Linked DNA regions of Mus musculus. The protein of the gene in region 1 interacts with the protein of each later gene in a biochemical or structural test. Links are inferred from orthologs where the notes say so. Each region holds a gene or a part of one and is shown in the gene's direction. Other genes may lie near its edges. The genes, in order: Arih2 and Ckb.

Region 1 (7,211 bases):
GTTCCTCTCTAGTACTCACTGCAGTGGGTCTGTTACCAGTAACTCAAAGTCATCACTGGAAACTAGTTTTCAGGAAATATGATTTGGATCCTTCACAGGGACCATCGTGATATGCATATGTTTTGTCAACTCAAGTACCCAAGTTCACGGCTTGTCCAGATTTGTGTTCTATTGCTGTGATAAAGGCTATGACAAAAAGCAATTTGAAGAGGAAAAAATTTATCTCATCTTTTAGCTTATAGTCCCTCATAGAAGGAAATTAGGGCAAGAACTTGAGGCAGAAACCTAAGCAGGGATAAGGGAAGAGCATGGCTCACTAGTTTGATCCCATGGATTGCTCAGCCTGCTCGCTCTCACTTGCTTGAGCGCTCTCTCTCTCTCTCTCTCTCTCTCTCTCTCTTTCTCTCAAGATATAGTCTCTCTGTGTAGCCCTGGCTGTCCTGGAACTTGATTCACAGACCAGGATGGTCTTGCTGGAACTCAGAGCTCTATCTACCTCCTAAGTGCTAGGATTAAAGGCATGTGCCACCACTGCCTAGCTTTAGTTTCCAATCTTTTACTGCCAGGACCACCCATCCAGAGATGGCACTGTTGATAGTGGGCTGGATCCTCCTACATCAATCATTAATCAAGAAAATGTCTTCGTTACAGGCCAATTTAATGAAGACATTTTATCAATTGACGTGAATCTTCTCTGTAAAAGCAAGTGGCACAGTTTTTTTGTTTTGTTTTTTTGTTTTTTGTTTTTTGAGACAGGGTTTCTCTGTATAGCCCTGGATGTCCTAGAACTCACTCTGTAGACCAGGCTGGCCTCAAACTCAGAAATCTGCCTGCCTCTGTCTCCCAAGTGCTGGGATTAAAGGCGTGTGTCACCACTGCCCAGCTACTTTTTTTGTTGTTGTTAAAGATAATTACTGATCATGTACCTCTGGCTGCCTTGTTGGGCAGCCTGGCACTTAGTATGTAGACCAGGTTGGCCTGGAACTTACTTTCTTTTTTTTTTTTTTTTTTTTTCTCTGTGCAGTCCTGGCTGTCCTGGAACTCATTCTGTAGACCAGGCTGGCCTTGAACTCAGAAATCCACCTGCCTCTGCCTCCCGAGGCCTGGAACTTTCAATGATTCCCCTAGCCTTTGCACCCCAAGTGCTATTCTTGTTCTAGCGACTTTCAACATTTGATTACCCCTGATTTTGATTCATGACCCAAATTTGTAGATATTTTAAGTAGATTGTGTGGCTGCACACATGTGAGTTTGTAAGTTTTAGGTCTGTACAGAGCTTCAGGTTATCCAGGGATATATAGTGAGAACTTTTCTCAAAAAAGAAAAAAAAATTTTTTTTTTAATTTTCTGTTTACAAGTATGTGTGTGCCGGAAGAGGTTCAAAGAGGGCTTCGGATCCCCTGGACATTATCAATAGTGGGCAAGGACCTCAGGTTTCTGGAGAGAACAGCAAGAGCTCTTAATGGCCCAGCCAACTCCCAAGTCTCTTCAGTTATATTTTTTCCAAGAATTACATAAAAGAGGCTATTACACGGTCTTTTTTCTTTCTGCCTCACTTTTCCGGGTGTCTTGAATACCAATACATACACTCCAGAAAAGGTAGAACTAGGTTATCTACAGATTTGCACGAACATTGATTTACCTCACAGTGCCTCTGGCTTCACTCCAGTAATTAACATCTCGATGGAGTTGCTACTTGAGCGAGCCTCCTATCAGTCCACAACAAGGCTTGGTGACCAGAACTTGGTGACTGGAGTCCTAATGCAGTCTATATCGTGGGTAGAAGTTGTGCAGCGAAACACTTACGATGTATGAATCTCTGGGTCTGGTAATCTAGCAAGGCAAACCAGCCTTGGCTATATAGTGAGTTGCTTCTAAATATAACCACACCAAACAAAAAATACCCGTCGTGAAGGTGAGTGGAAGTCGGAGAAGTGGGTGGCTAGGGGGATAGTGTCATGAGAAACTAAAGTCTGATTGCTCATGGGCCAGAACTTCCTCCTAACGTACGTAGAAATTCCGAGTATGGCTCATGTCAAACCATAGTTGCCCGGAAACTATGATCTTTTTAACCTACTCCAGTGTTGCCAGAATGTCTTCTCACGCTGTTCGTCAGAGTATAAACAGTGAAGTGGGTAGACGTCTGGTCAGGGGAAAAAAAAAAAAAAAAAGCTAAAAATACCTCATCTAAGGGTCTGATGGCTCAGTGGGTAAAAAGCGCTTACTGCCACGCCTGACAAGTGTTTGATCCTCGAAACCCACATGGTGGAAGGAGAAAAACTGCTCCCGGAAAATTGTCCTCTGACCTCTTCTGCACGCGAGCCGTGCGACACACACAAAATACACGCAAGAAAACCTAAAACTAACTATCGAATAAAGACACTGGTAGGCTATAACGCAGGAAACAAATTCCTACATCATTCCTTCAAAAGCGAACGCTCAGTAGTTCCTCCCAGGGGCTCTCGCTAGAGGATGGTGAGGAAGCGATTCCAACCGACTACGCAGTCGTCAGAAGCCTGGGAGCCTCCAGGGCGACCGCAGGTCGACCCCTACCGGAAGTGACGCGCGGCGCAGAACACTTCCGGAGCTGCGGGGGACGGCTCTGCCGGAGGAAGCTGCGCGGGCCTGAGCCGCGTCCGCCGGCTGCCTCCGCTGCCGCTACGCCTCCGTCAGCCTGGTTTGGTCTGGCTTGACCTGGTCCGGCCGGCCTGGGCTCTGCGGCCGCGAGGTCGCGGCTCCCGGTAAGTGCGCGGCGGGAGTCGAGGCCTTGTTTACTCTTGACTGGCCGCCGGGAGGGGGGGGATCCCCGCGCGTTTCGCCGGCGCGGTCCGGGCTCCGCCTTCGCCGCCGCTTGCGAGGCCGGGCCGTCCCAGGTCCCGACGTTCCCCGCCGACTGATAGGCACTCCCGGAGGCGACAGCCCGCGCCGGCGGGTGCCTGGCGTCTCTCCTGGGTTCCTCTTCCTCGTTGGCTCTTTAGCTCCCCGAGAGGTCGGAGGCCAGGGCCTCTGGCCCGCGAGGCTCGGGTGCGCTCGGGCCTGCCCTTCTGGGCGCTCCAGGCGAACGCACCGCCTCGGAGGCTCCCCGTTTCTCTGGTGGTTGGGAGCTTTGGCAGCGCCAGCCGCACTGTTTGTTAACGCCCGTCCTGGGAAAGGGCCTCCCCGCGCGTGGGTTCCGTGTCCGCGCGAAGACCGGGGCGCCTCGCAGAGACGTGCGACCGGTCACGCCCGACGCCACTGGTCTAGCCTCAAGAGAGGCGGTGGTGTTCTCGGACGAGCTCGCCTTAGTTCTTCTGTTTGTTACTCTGTCTCGTAGAACTTTCTGTCGGCGACGAACACGTTCTAGACCTTTGCTGTTCAGTATGGTAGCCATTAAGCCACACACGGCTTTCGTGTTGACATGTATGTAGTTAGTATATCTGAGAAACTACATTTGACTTTTTAAAAGTAAACTAACTTTCAATAACTCCATGTAATCGGCGGCTACCTGCCATTATTAGGACAGATGCGGTGTCGAGTTGGTTGTTTTTAGACAGTGTCTACATAGTCATGGCTGTCAAGGAACTCACTGTGTAGACTGGGCCGAACTCGAACTCACCTGCTTCTGCCTCTCAAGTGCTGGCATTGAAGGCTTGCACTACCACGCCCGGGATGCTGCTGAGTTTTTAAACAAGTTGCTGATTCATATTTTTCAGCCAAGAAGTTTTCTTCGAAATGTAGTTAATAAATGACTACTGAGGGCCAAGTGTTACAACTGGAGTTAAACATCTGTGCGACTAGCCAATTTTTTTGTGTTCCTGTCAACTTCAAACTAAAAGGTCTTTATCCTTTTGTATGTGGCCATGTCTTGGAAACCAGCTCAAAATGAGTGGCAGGTTTTTTTGAAGATGACTTTAACTCTTGGAAAAAGTACTAATTTTGTACCATTTCTCTCTGAGATAGTCATATTTAACATCTTGAATACTTTGACATTAAGAAAATAACACATTGGCCCTTTGAACAAAGTCAGGATTCAGTTTTCTTGCGTGCTTTATTTTGAGACAGTGTCTCCCACTTTTTTTTTTTTTTTTTTTGAGACAGGGTTTCTCTGTATAGCCCTGGCTGTCCTGGAACTCACTCTGTAGACCAGGCTGGCCTCAAACTCAGAAATTCACCTGCCTCTGCCTCCCAAGTGCTGGGATTAAAGGCGTGCGCCACCACGCCCAGCCAGTGTCTCCCACTTTTGATCCTCCTGCTGACACTCCTAAGTTGGGGATCCCAGAATGTGCCACTAAGCTCAGCAAGGCCAGCCTTCCTTCAGGAATCTCTTAACAGAGCCTAATGGTGTCACTCACCTTTAGTCTGGCCATTTAGGAAGCTGTGCTCTTGTGAGTTTGAGGACAGACATCATCATAGTGAGACCTTGTATCAAAAATATGTGTGTTTATAAAATTTTTATTTTAAAAAAGCTTTATTTAGATCTGAATCTAGAACACCAGGAAGTATATGAAACAGTCAATTCTTTTAAAGAACCTGGATTCCCATCTACTTGGTTATTTGGTTGGTGAAAAAGCTGTGAGCCATGTTCTCGACAGATCCTAAGGAGAAATCAGAATTTGAAAGGGTATGCTCTTTAGTTAGTGAGATTTCTGTAGCTTTAAATCAGGCCTCCTGAGAGTGATGGCTAGAATCTGCTTAGAATGGAATTCTGATGCTGCCTCTGCTAGTTGACTTTGTATGATCCTAGGCAAGATACTTCAGCATTATCAATCCCAGCTTCATTTGTAAGCCTCTGTTTGAGACAGCATCTCACCATGCAACTCATTGAATTTACCAGTCTGGAATTAAAGGTGTAGATTTGCACCACCTCACCTGGCCATTGTAAGCCCATTCCCCCCCTCTTACCCCCCCCCTTTTTTTTTCCTTTCCCCCTCCGTAGCCCTGGCTGTCCTGGAACTAGCTCTGTAGATCAGGGTGGCTTCAAACTCAGACCCACCTGCTTTTGCCTCCCTGGTGCACTACAATGTCTGGCTATTCCATTATTTGGGAAATAATTTTCCATGCTATTTGTTCAGACTTTGATCTTTAATTTTGTATTTTCCTATCTATAATCAAAGTATTCTTTGGTAGTTATAAGCTCTGGTTGCCCAAGAAATCCTAAAGAAACGCAATAGACATGAAAAAATTAATATTTTACAAGTCTTGGATAGTAGGATCCATGTGTCTAGAAAAACCAGGTGGCCTTTGTAATATGAGGTGACTGGGTATGGTAGCATGTTTACCACTCTAGAGTCAGTGGGACCTGATAAATGAGAGAGACAAAAGTTTCATTAAATAACCAACTTTATTCAGAGCATTTATACTCTGAATAATTTATACTCTGAGGGTTAAGAGAAACCATATGAGTAAGATCACAAGGACCAGCCAAATGTGGATAGTTTACACATTTAATTGAGTAACAACAAACAGTATGAGGAAACTGTTAAGCTACACTTGCGAGAACAGGAGAATACATTCCAAGAACAGTTCTGTGAAGAAACTGAGGTCGTACGAATCTATGCCTTTAATCCCAGCACTTGGGAGGCAGAGGCAGGCAGATTTCTGAGTTCGAGGCCAGCCTGGTCTACAGAGTGAGCTCTAGGACAGCCAGGGCTACACAGAGAAACCCTGTCTCGAAAATCGAAAAACAAACAAACAAAGAATCTATTTTCTAAGAGTTTTCTTGCAAGCACTCAGAATTTCCACTCAGTTCCGTTCGTGAACCGAGTTTCAGGAGTAGCTTATGTTGATGGTCACAGAGTAAAGATGGAGATAGATATTACTATTGCCTAATTGGGTGCATTTTTATTGTAAAGCTGAGACATCTTGATGACCTTGATCCTCCTTCCACCTCACAGCTTTTAGGATTACAAGCGTGTGCCATCATATAAACCTAGGCACTGAAGTGTGTACTTCCAGTTTTCCTATGCAACTGTGGGAGGTGGAGACAGGAGACTCTGGCAGGTCTTTGGGCCAACTAGCCTGGTTTATACATTGGTAATACAAACCCTACCTCAAATAAGGTGAGTTTCAGGCTAGCTAGTCAACTTAATAAGACTTTGTCCCAAAAAGTAACACAGGGTTCTGCATGTGGTGCATATTTTTAATCCCTGCACTCAAGAGGCAGAGACAGTCTGATTTCTGTGAGTTCAAGGCCAGCTTGGACACAGTTCCAGGTCGTCCATAGCTACTTAGAGAGTATGGATCTGGGTTGGGGGGTAGAGGGCTTGAGGAAGTAAAGTGCTTACCTAGTTAGCTGGATTCAGTCCTCCCACTGCTAGGTAAGTAATGCTAGTTTGCAAACTGGGTATAGTGACACATACCTATAGATCTAGGATACGTATCTAGATCCTATCACACACACACACAAAAGTGGGCTTATGGGACAGCACAGCAGAAAAAAAGCACTTGCTGCCAACCTTGAAGACCTTTATTATTTACTTATTTGTTTATTTTAGATTTGTTTACTTTATCTATATTGAGTATATTGTAGCTGTCTTCAGACATACCAGAAGAGGGCATCAGAACCCATTACAGATGGGTGTGAGCTACCATGTAGTTGTTGAGAATTGAACTCAGGACTTCTGGAAAAGCAGTCAGTACTCTTAACTGCTGAGCCATCTCTCCAGCCTGAAGACCTTCTTTAAATACCTGGAGCTCAAATAGTTGGAGAGAACAACCTCACACCAACTGTTCTTTGACTTCCACTCAAGGTTGCCTCTACCCACATCCACCTAAAACGTATAAATGAAAGAAACAAAATAGCTGGGCATGGCAGCACATGTTTGTTAACCTCACACTTGAGAAGCCGAGGCAGGTGGTTCTCTGAGTTCAAGGTCAGCTTGGTTGGTAGAGTTGCAAGACAAGTCATTATGTGGTGAGACCCTTTCTTAAACAAAAACAATAAACTTGAGAAAGGGTATCAGTTCTAAAAATATAAATTGTCTCTTTTCGTTTCAGATGGAAATCCTATGACAGACAGTTTGGGTGATATCTGCAGGAAAGATCTTTAAACATTACAGGTGATTTAAACATTTCCTTAACTTTGTATTAGGCTTGGAGGCAATGTACCTTTACCTGTCTCTTGGTGGAAGGATTTCCCTTGATAAACATAGTCAAGGGAGGGGGAAGGGTTCTAAAAGAAACTAGAATTGAGATAGGAAGCTGGGCTGGGTGGTGTGTAGCTTTAATTTTTT
Region 2 (7,189 bases), on another chromosome or scaffold:
AAATAGTGACTTGAGCCGGGCATGGTGGCGTACACTTTTAATCCCAGCACTCAGGAGGCAGAGGCAGGCGGATTTCTGAGTTCGAGGCCAGCCTGGTCTACAAAGTGAGTTCCAGGATAGCCAGGGCTATACTGAGAAACCCTGTCTTGAACCCCCCCCCCCAAGTGGCTTGACCTGGGCATAGTGGTTCAGTCCCATATTAGAACTTGGGATGCTGAGACAGAAAGAGCCTGGTTTATGGGATCTTGTCTCAAAACACAATAGGTTAAAGCTGGCCAAGGTGAGTGAAAAACAGGAGGAGTCTCTGTAGTAGCCCTGGGGACAGAACAGAGGTGACTTTTCAACTCTACCCAGGCAGAGGCAGGCAGGCAGTCTTTCTGCCCCGAGTTCTTCACTCCAGTCTTCTCCCCAGGCACCTGCACATTCTATCTCAGCCTGGAATTCCTGTCATACCTCACACAGTTCGCTCCTCCAGGCAGCCTGCCTCCACAGAAAGGCAGGGTCCCTGTGCCTCCTGTGCACTTTTTGTTGCACGTTCCTTGCATCTAGCACCTCATGTGTGGCTGGAGGCTCAGGGGGAGCAGTCTCCCTCAAAGCCATCTTCAGCTTCTTTTCCTCTGGGGCGTAAGTGTGCCATTAGTTCTCTGAAGCTAGGCTTTGGACTGCAATCCCTCAGAGCAGGATGGAGCATGCCTTTAAGTCCACAAGTGGATAAACAGAGGCAGGCAGAGCTCTGAGACCTGCTTGGTCTACAAAGTGAGTTCCAAGGCTAGAGAGAGAAACTGTCAAAGACAAATGACTGAAGATATTCTGTCAAACATGCAAGGATGAAGGCTTCTCTTGTTCTTGCTTTATTAGCCCAGGAGTGAGTGAGTGGCTGTGAGTGAACATTAAATATGAAAGCACAGATACTGATTTTTTTTTGAGACAGGGCTGTTCTGGACTCTCTTTTTAGAGGAAGGATCTGCCTGAGGGATCTCACAGAGATCTGCTTGTCTCTGCCTTCCTCGTGCTTGGATTGAAAGGGTGTGCTGCAGCTGGACGTGGTGGCCCATGCCTTTAATCCCAGCACTTGTGAGGCAGAGGCAGGCGAATTTCTGAGTTCGAGGCCAGCCTGGTCTACAGAGTGAGTTCCAGGACAGCCAGGGCTACACAGAGAAACCCTGTCTTAAACAAACAAACAAACCAAAAAAGAAAAAGAAAAAAAGAAAGGGTGTGCCGCCACGCAGGACCTCACCTCTCTATTTGTATCAACTGCACCATCTACCACACTTTTCTACCCACGACCATTCCCTAATGAGCATCAGATCGAATCCAAACTTTCTCCCTCTACACGTTTCCTGATCTGTTTGTAGAGAAGGGACACCGTCTTTCTGTAGGCTGCATTCCTAGAAGTGGGAATGCTAGGTCATAGAGCAATTTAAAAATTTTTTAACAAATACTGCCAAATTACTTTCCAGAAAAAGATGAAGCTGCTGGCAGCTGCAGCAGGCAAGGTGCGAACGCCTATCTTCACACATTCCAATTCACACCTGGCACTGGCTGTGGTCAAATTCCAGGTTTCCCCTGTGTGTGTGTGTGGGGGGGGGTGGCACGGGGAGAGAGACTGTTTCAATGTGTTGGATCTGATTAATGAGCTTAATTTTGACTGGTGCTTCCTCCACCCCCAGTTTGCCTGCCGGTGTTGGGGAGTTCTTTGTGGGTGCGGTGGTAGAAACCGGTCCCCCGAGAAAAGGGACAGGAGATGAGAATTTGGAGATTCAAAAACAGTCTCTAGGAACTAAATGTCTTGAATCTTTCAGGGTCTGGGTCCAAGGGTCTTGGCGGTGTTCCTTAGAGCCCGCCCAAGGTCAGAACACCCTGGGTGCTTCCGGGCGGGACCTCAGCCAGACTGCGCCTCTGGTGTTGCACCAAGAACACCCAGGAGATGCCCGCAGGCACCTTGAGGAAGGTCGGCGGCTCTGTGGCTCTTGAGGATATGGCCTGGATGCGGTGTTTGGATGCTGTACCCAATGTTAAAAACCTGGACTCTCACCATGACCCTCTCTACAACGCAGTCGGCCTGAGGAGACAGGGAAGGCAGGAGCCTCAAGTGCCATCTGGCTTCCCAGACTCAGTTTCCTGCCCCCGGCAGTGTGTGTGAAGCAGGTCTAGGATATCTATGGCTCTGGGGTTTCGTCTTAGGGATCCTGTGCGAGCACCACCGGGGTGGCCAAACTGCGCAGCGGGGTCGAGACTTGGGGACCGCTAGGGTGGGCCGCTGGGGGTGTCAAGGGCTGCTGCCTCGGACAAAGCGGCGGCACCACCCCAAAGCGCGGACCAATGGAATGAATGGGCTATAAATAGCCGCCAATGGGAGGCCGGCGACGCGCCCCTTAAGAGCTCAGGGAGCAGCGAGCAGCCGTCGTTCTTCTGCGCTGCGCCAGGAGCTGCAAGCACAGGCATCCATCGCCCCTGCTTCGTCCGGCATCCCGGTGAGCGGGTCCAAGGGCCAGGGGTATAGTCCTGCGGGGCTCTACGCTGTGGGGTGCGGGACCGGGGCATCACGCGCAGCCTCGCTGCCGGGAGCGCTCATCGGACCCGCCCGGGAACTTGGGATGCGCTGGACTCTGACGATGCAGACCTCGCTGACCTTGGTGGCGTCCAGGGAAAGTCTCGGGGGTCCCAAGTGGTTTGCAGGTCCCTGGCGGCCGGTGTTTAAATCTCCTCTGACCCCGCTCTTCCCTGCAGCCCGCTGCCGCCGCCATGCCCTTCTCCAACAGCCATAATACGCAGAAGCTGCGCTTCCCGGCCGAGGATGAGTTCCCTGATCTGAGCAGCCACAACAACCATATGGCCAAGGTGCTGACCCCGGAGCTGTACGCCGAGCTCCGTGCCAAGTGCACGCCGAGCGGCTTTACTTTGGACGACGCCATTCAGACTGGCGTAGACAATCCGGGTATGCACACCCCTGTAGCGTCAGGCTTCCGCCTCCCCAAGAAGCCCCCCGGGCAAGGATCCCACTGCTCTTCCCTGAACCTTCGGTGGGCTGGGGTCCCCTGTTCCCCTCTCCGCGCTTAGCCTTAAGAGCCTCGGCTTGCTCCTGCCTGACGGTGACGTCACTGTCGCCGCGCCCCTCCTCCAGGCCACCCGTACATCATGACTGTGGGTGCAGTGGCGGGCGACGAGGAGAGTTACGACGTATTCAAGGACCTCTTCGACCCCATTATTGAGGAGCGGCACGGCGGCTACCAGCCCAGTGATGAGCACAAGACCGACCTCAACCCAGACAACCTGCAGGTGCGGGGAATCAGGGTCCGGGCGTGCTGGGGAGAGGGGTCTCGGCGCTCACTCTAGCCACCACCTTGTATTCCCAGGGTGGCGATGACCTGGACCCCAACTACGTGCTGAGCTCGCGAGTGCGCACAGGCCGCAGCATCCGCGGCTTCTGTCTCCCCCCGCACTGCAGCCGCGGGGAGCGCCGCGCCATCGAGAAGCTGGCAGTAGAAGGTAGGGGTCGGGTAACAGCCTCCAGAGCTGCTGCGCTCTTCTCTGCGCGCGCGTTCCCACTGGGGACTGAGGGTCGAAGACCCACCTTCGCCCGCGGGGACACACTGCTGCAGGCGGGGCGGCGGGCTTGCTCGCCCGCCCACCCTGTCCTTGAACTCTGCACTCCGCAGCTCTGTCCAGCCTAGATGGCGACCTGTCTGGCAGGTACTACGCGCTCAAGAGCATGACTGAGGCGGAGCAGCAGCAGCTCATTGACGACCACTTCCTCTTCGATAAGCCTGTGTCGCCTCTGCTGCTGGCCTCCGGCATGGCCCGGGACTGGCCGGATGCTCGTGGCATATGGTACGAGCCCCCCCCCCCCCCCAGTCCCTAGAAGGTGGGGCCTGCCCTGAATTCCTAGTTTGTGCAGTGCCTCCCTCCGCCCAGGTGACCTTGGTTCTGCGGATGACTGTGGTCCTTGCGCTGCGGGAGGCCGCAGTCTCCAGGGACTCAAGGGTGGTGACCAGTCTCTTTGGCGTCTGTTCTCCGCCCTCCTCCTGGGAGCCGGCGCTTCTTGTTTTCTCTCCACCTTCTCACCCCCTTATTCCGCCGGGATCGTGCCAGGTGCCAATGACGCAAAAGCCTCCGCACCCGTCCGGGCAGGGCTCCTACCCCTGCAGACTGAGCGGGCGGAGGCGTGCTTCCTCTGGTGGGATGCTCTGGAGGCTCCAGACCCTTGCGGGCCACACAGCACATGACTGGTGATTGAGATGTATATGAGCTGCCTTCCTCCACTGTTGCTGGGATTGGCGTCTTGGTGACAGCTCACATTCCAGCACTTTGTTGAGGAAGCATTTTGTTTGAGGTCACCCACCTATAGTGTCTTTCTTGGGTGTGATCTAAGGCCACATTCTGGCAGGGACTCCAGCCTGACTTTACCCCTCTTCTAGGCACAATGACAATAAGACTTTCCTGGTGTGGATTAACGAGGAGGACCACCTGCGAGTCATCTCCATGCAGAAGGGGGGCAACATGAAGGAAGTGTTCACCCGATTCTGCACCGGCCTCACTCAGGTCAGGCCTGGGCATTCCCCAGGGCTTCCTCACTAGGGGCGTTGGTGCTGGGGAGGGATCAGGGGCAGATCAGAGCCCACATCTCCCAGGGTCCGTAGGGCTTCCGGCCAGGCTTCCTTCTCTTAACTCTCCCTTCTCCACCTTCAGATCGAAACTCTCTTCAAGTCCAAGAACTATGAGTTCATGTGGAATCCTCACCTGGGCTACATCCTCACATGCCCATCCAACCTGGGCACCGGACTGCGGGCAGGTGTGCACATCAAGCTGCCCCACCTGGGGAAGCACGAGAAGTTCTCGGAGGTGCTCAAGCGGCTGCGGCTTCAGAAGCGAGGCACAGGTGAGGGGCAGAAGGCACAGGTGAGGGGCAGAAGGTGCAGGTGTTGTCCTCAGCCCCGCTGACCTGCCCATGTCCCACCGCAGGTGGCGTGGACACCGCTGCTGTCGGTGGGGTGTTTGATGTCTCCAACGCTGACCGCCTGGGCTTCTCGGAGGTGGAACTGGTGCAGATGGTGGTGGACGGAGTGAAACTACTCATTGAGATGGAGCAACGGCTGGAGCAGGGTCAGGCAATCGATGACCTCATGCCGGCCCAGAAGTGAAGCCTGGCCCTCGCCACCATCAGGCTGCCGCTTCCTAACTTATTAACCGGGCAGTGCCCGCCATGCATCCTTGATGTTTGCCGCCTGGCGGCTGAGCCCTTAGCCTCGCTGTAGAGACTTCTGTCGCCCTGGGTAGAGTTTATTTTTTTGATGGCTAAGCTGTTGCTGACACTGAAAATAAACTAGGGTTTGGCCTGCCCTATTTCTGAGTGTTGCTTCTCCTTTCCTAGGGACAGTGTGTGTGTGTGTGTATGTATGTGTGTGTGTGTGTGTGCGCGCGCTGGCCTTCTGTGTCATCTCACCTAGCAGATGAAACATGAGCCATAGAAGATACAGGGCAGAGAGGGAGGGAGGCTCTGAGTCCAGCCTGAGCATCTAAGGACATCTGTGCTTGCAGGGTGGAGCCTAGTGTTTCCTTAGTCCCAGCCAGCTAAAGGAGTCAGAAACTTGACATCTTCCCCAGTTTCTTTCTGCTGTCTTCCTGGCAGCCTGAAGAGCCAAAGTTTTACCTCCTCACTTCCTCCCCCTCCAGGCTCCAACCCCTACTCCAGTTCCTAAATAACCCTCTCCCTGCTTCCTCCAGCTTCCATCGTCCTCAGGTCGAGGTGCCTCCTCCTCACCGCCCCCCCCCCCGCCCCCAGCTCTCTAGCCCCTGTCCCGTCCCTCTCATTTGCAGCTAGCTTCCTCTCTGGGGCCCTAGTGGTTGGGAGGAGACAACCCTCTGCTTCCACTTCGAGCTTTTATGCCACGTCATCTAGGAGAGGGAACAGTAGTTAGAGGGGCTCTGTCGTGACCCGTCCCTGTCTGTGGACAGGTCAAAGGGGAGGTACCCCAAGGCTCACATCAGGGCTCCTGGGCACAAATGAGGCTTGGCTGCCTTCATGGCGGCTTATCCTGGTTGGGCCTCATGAAAAGATCTGGCCCACATTTGAAAGCCGAGAAAGGAAAAAACAGCAGCCAGGGGCTGGGACTACAGTTCCCCGCCCCCACAGTGACTCTTCCAAGAGGACAGTCTTGTGCTGCCACCTGCTGGTCAGGCTCATCACAGGCTTACCTGGTCAACCCAGACATCATACTCAGACCCAGGAGACAGGAGGCAAGGCTGAGCTATGAGCTACAGAGGTTATGTTCTGTCTGGGGTTTGCTTCAATGGCCAGACTCCAGCTATGGGCTCATCTAGGTGGTGTCTAGGCTGGGGAAACTCTAGTTGAGTACTGACCTCTGTATCATGCTGTTTGAATGCACCTCACTGGGGGTGGGCTGGACATAGGACAGGGCAGGTTCCCTAGAAGCACAAAAGGGTCAAGAGATCTCTGCATCTCTCCTTAGTGTCCAGGGGTAGCACTCAATCCTGCCTTCGGTCTCCTCAGATGTCCTAACAAGTTTGCAGCTGGCACTCCTGTCAGAAAGACCTGGGGTCCACACTAGACCATTCCCTCAGCTTTAAGTCATCCAGCCACACTGTAGACTTCAGTCTGGTGGCAAAAAGCAGTCCTCCTGCCTTCCTTTAGGAAGGCAGAGGCGAGTGGGGCTCTGAGCTCAAGGCCAGCCTGGTCTATAGAGCAAGTTTCAGGACAGACAGAGAACTCCAAAGAAAAGCCCTGCCTTGAAAAACTAGGGGGAAAATGCCTTTCAAACCATCTCCACCAACAAAGGAAATGAGTCTCTGAGGGGACCATCCAGACTATAAGAGAGGGACAGTAGGCATAGAGAGATAAACTCCCCATGTCTGCTGTTGGGACACCAAAAAGACCTAAGAAAAGAAGGCAGGACACAGGACCCCTGTAACGGGTGAGGGTTTTCTATCTTCCTATAGGTGCCTCAGGTCTGTGAAGTTCAGTCTTGGAATACCACCTTCTTCCCGCCACTTGAACCCAGAATGTTCTGCTGGCTCAGGCCCCTTATCGCCAGCAAGGTCAAGGCCGGCTAACTTGATGTGGCTAGGCCAGACACCATCCCACTGGAGGTAGGCACAGCACTGTGTGGTACTTTCCCATCCAAACCCCAAGGATCCAGAGAGCTGCAGCCTGAAACCCCACTCTACTTAC

The links.
Region 2: of the proteins of Arih2 (region 1) and Ckb, one has a biochemical effect on the other in vitro, tested with the Homo sapiens proteins (2 studies listed by BioGRID). The link is inferred for Mus musculus from reciprocal best matches to the Homo sapiens genes ARIH2 and CKB.

Annotation. Positions count from the first base shown.
Region 1 is NC_000075.6:108,644,759-108,651,969, reverse strand, and holds the start of Arih2 (E3 ubiquitin-protein ligase ARIH2), read left to right. Parts: upstream 1-2,561; 5' UTR 2,562-2,741; intron 2,742-3,373; exon of another isoform or gene 3,374-3,399; intron 3,400-5,869; exon of another isoform or gene 5,870-6,038; intron 6,039-6,975; 5' UTR 6,976-7,037; intron 7,038-7,211.
Region 2 is NC_000078.6:111,667,515-111,674,703, reverse strand, and holds Ckb (creatine kinase B-type), read left to right. Parts: upstream 1-2,365; 5' UTR 2,366-2,474; intron 2,475-2,730; 5' UTR 2,731-2,745; coding exon 2,746-2,938; intron 2,939-3,124; coding exon 3,125-3,279; intron 3,280-3,356; coding exon 3,357-3,489; intron 3,490-3,659; coding exon 3,660-3,831; intron 3,832-4,418; coding exon 4,419-4,542; intron 4,543-4,689; coding exon 4,690-4,879; intron 4,880-4,962; coding exon 4,963-5,141; 3' UTR 5,142-5,349; downstream 5,350-7,189. UniProt on the Homo sapiens protein: Reversibly catalyzes the transfer of phosphate between ATP and various phosphogens (e.g. creatine phosphate).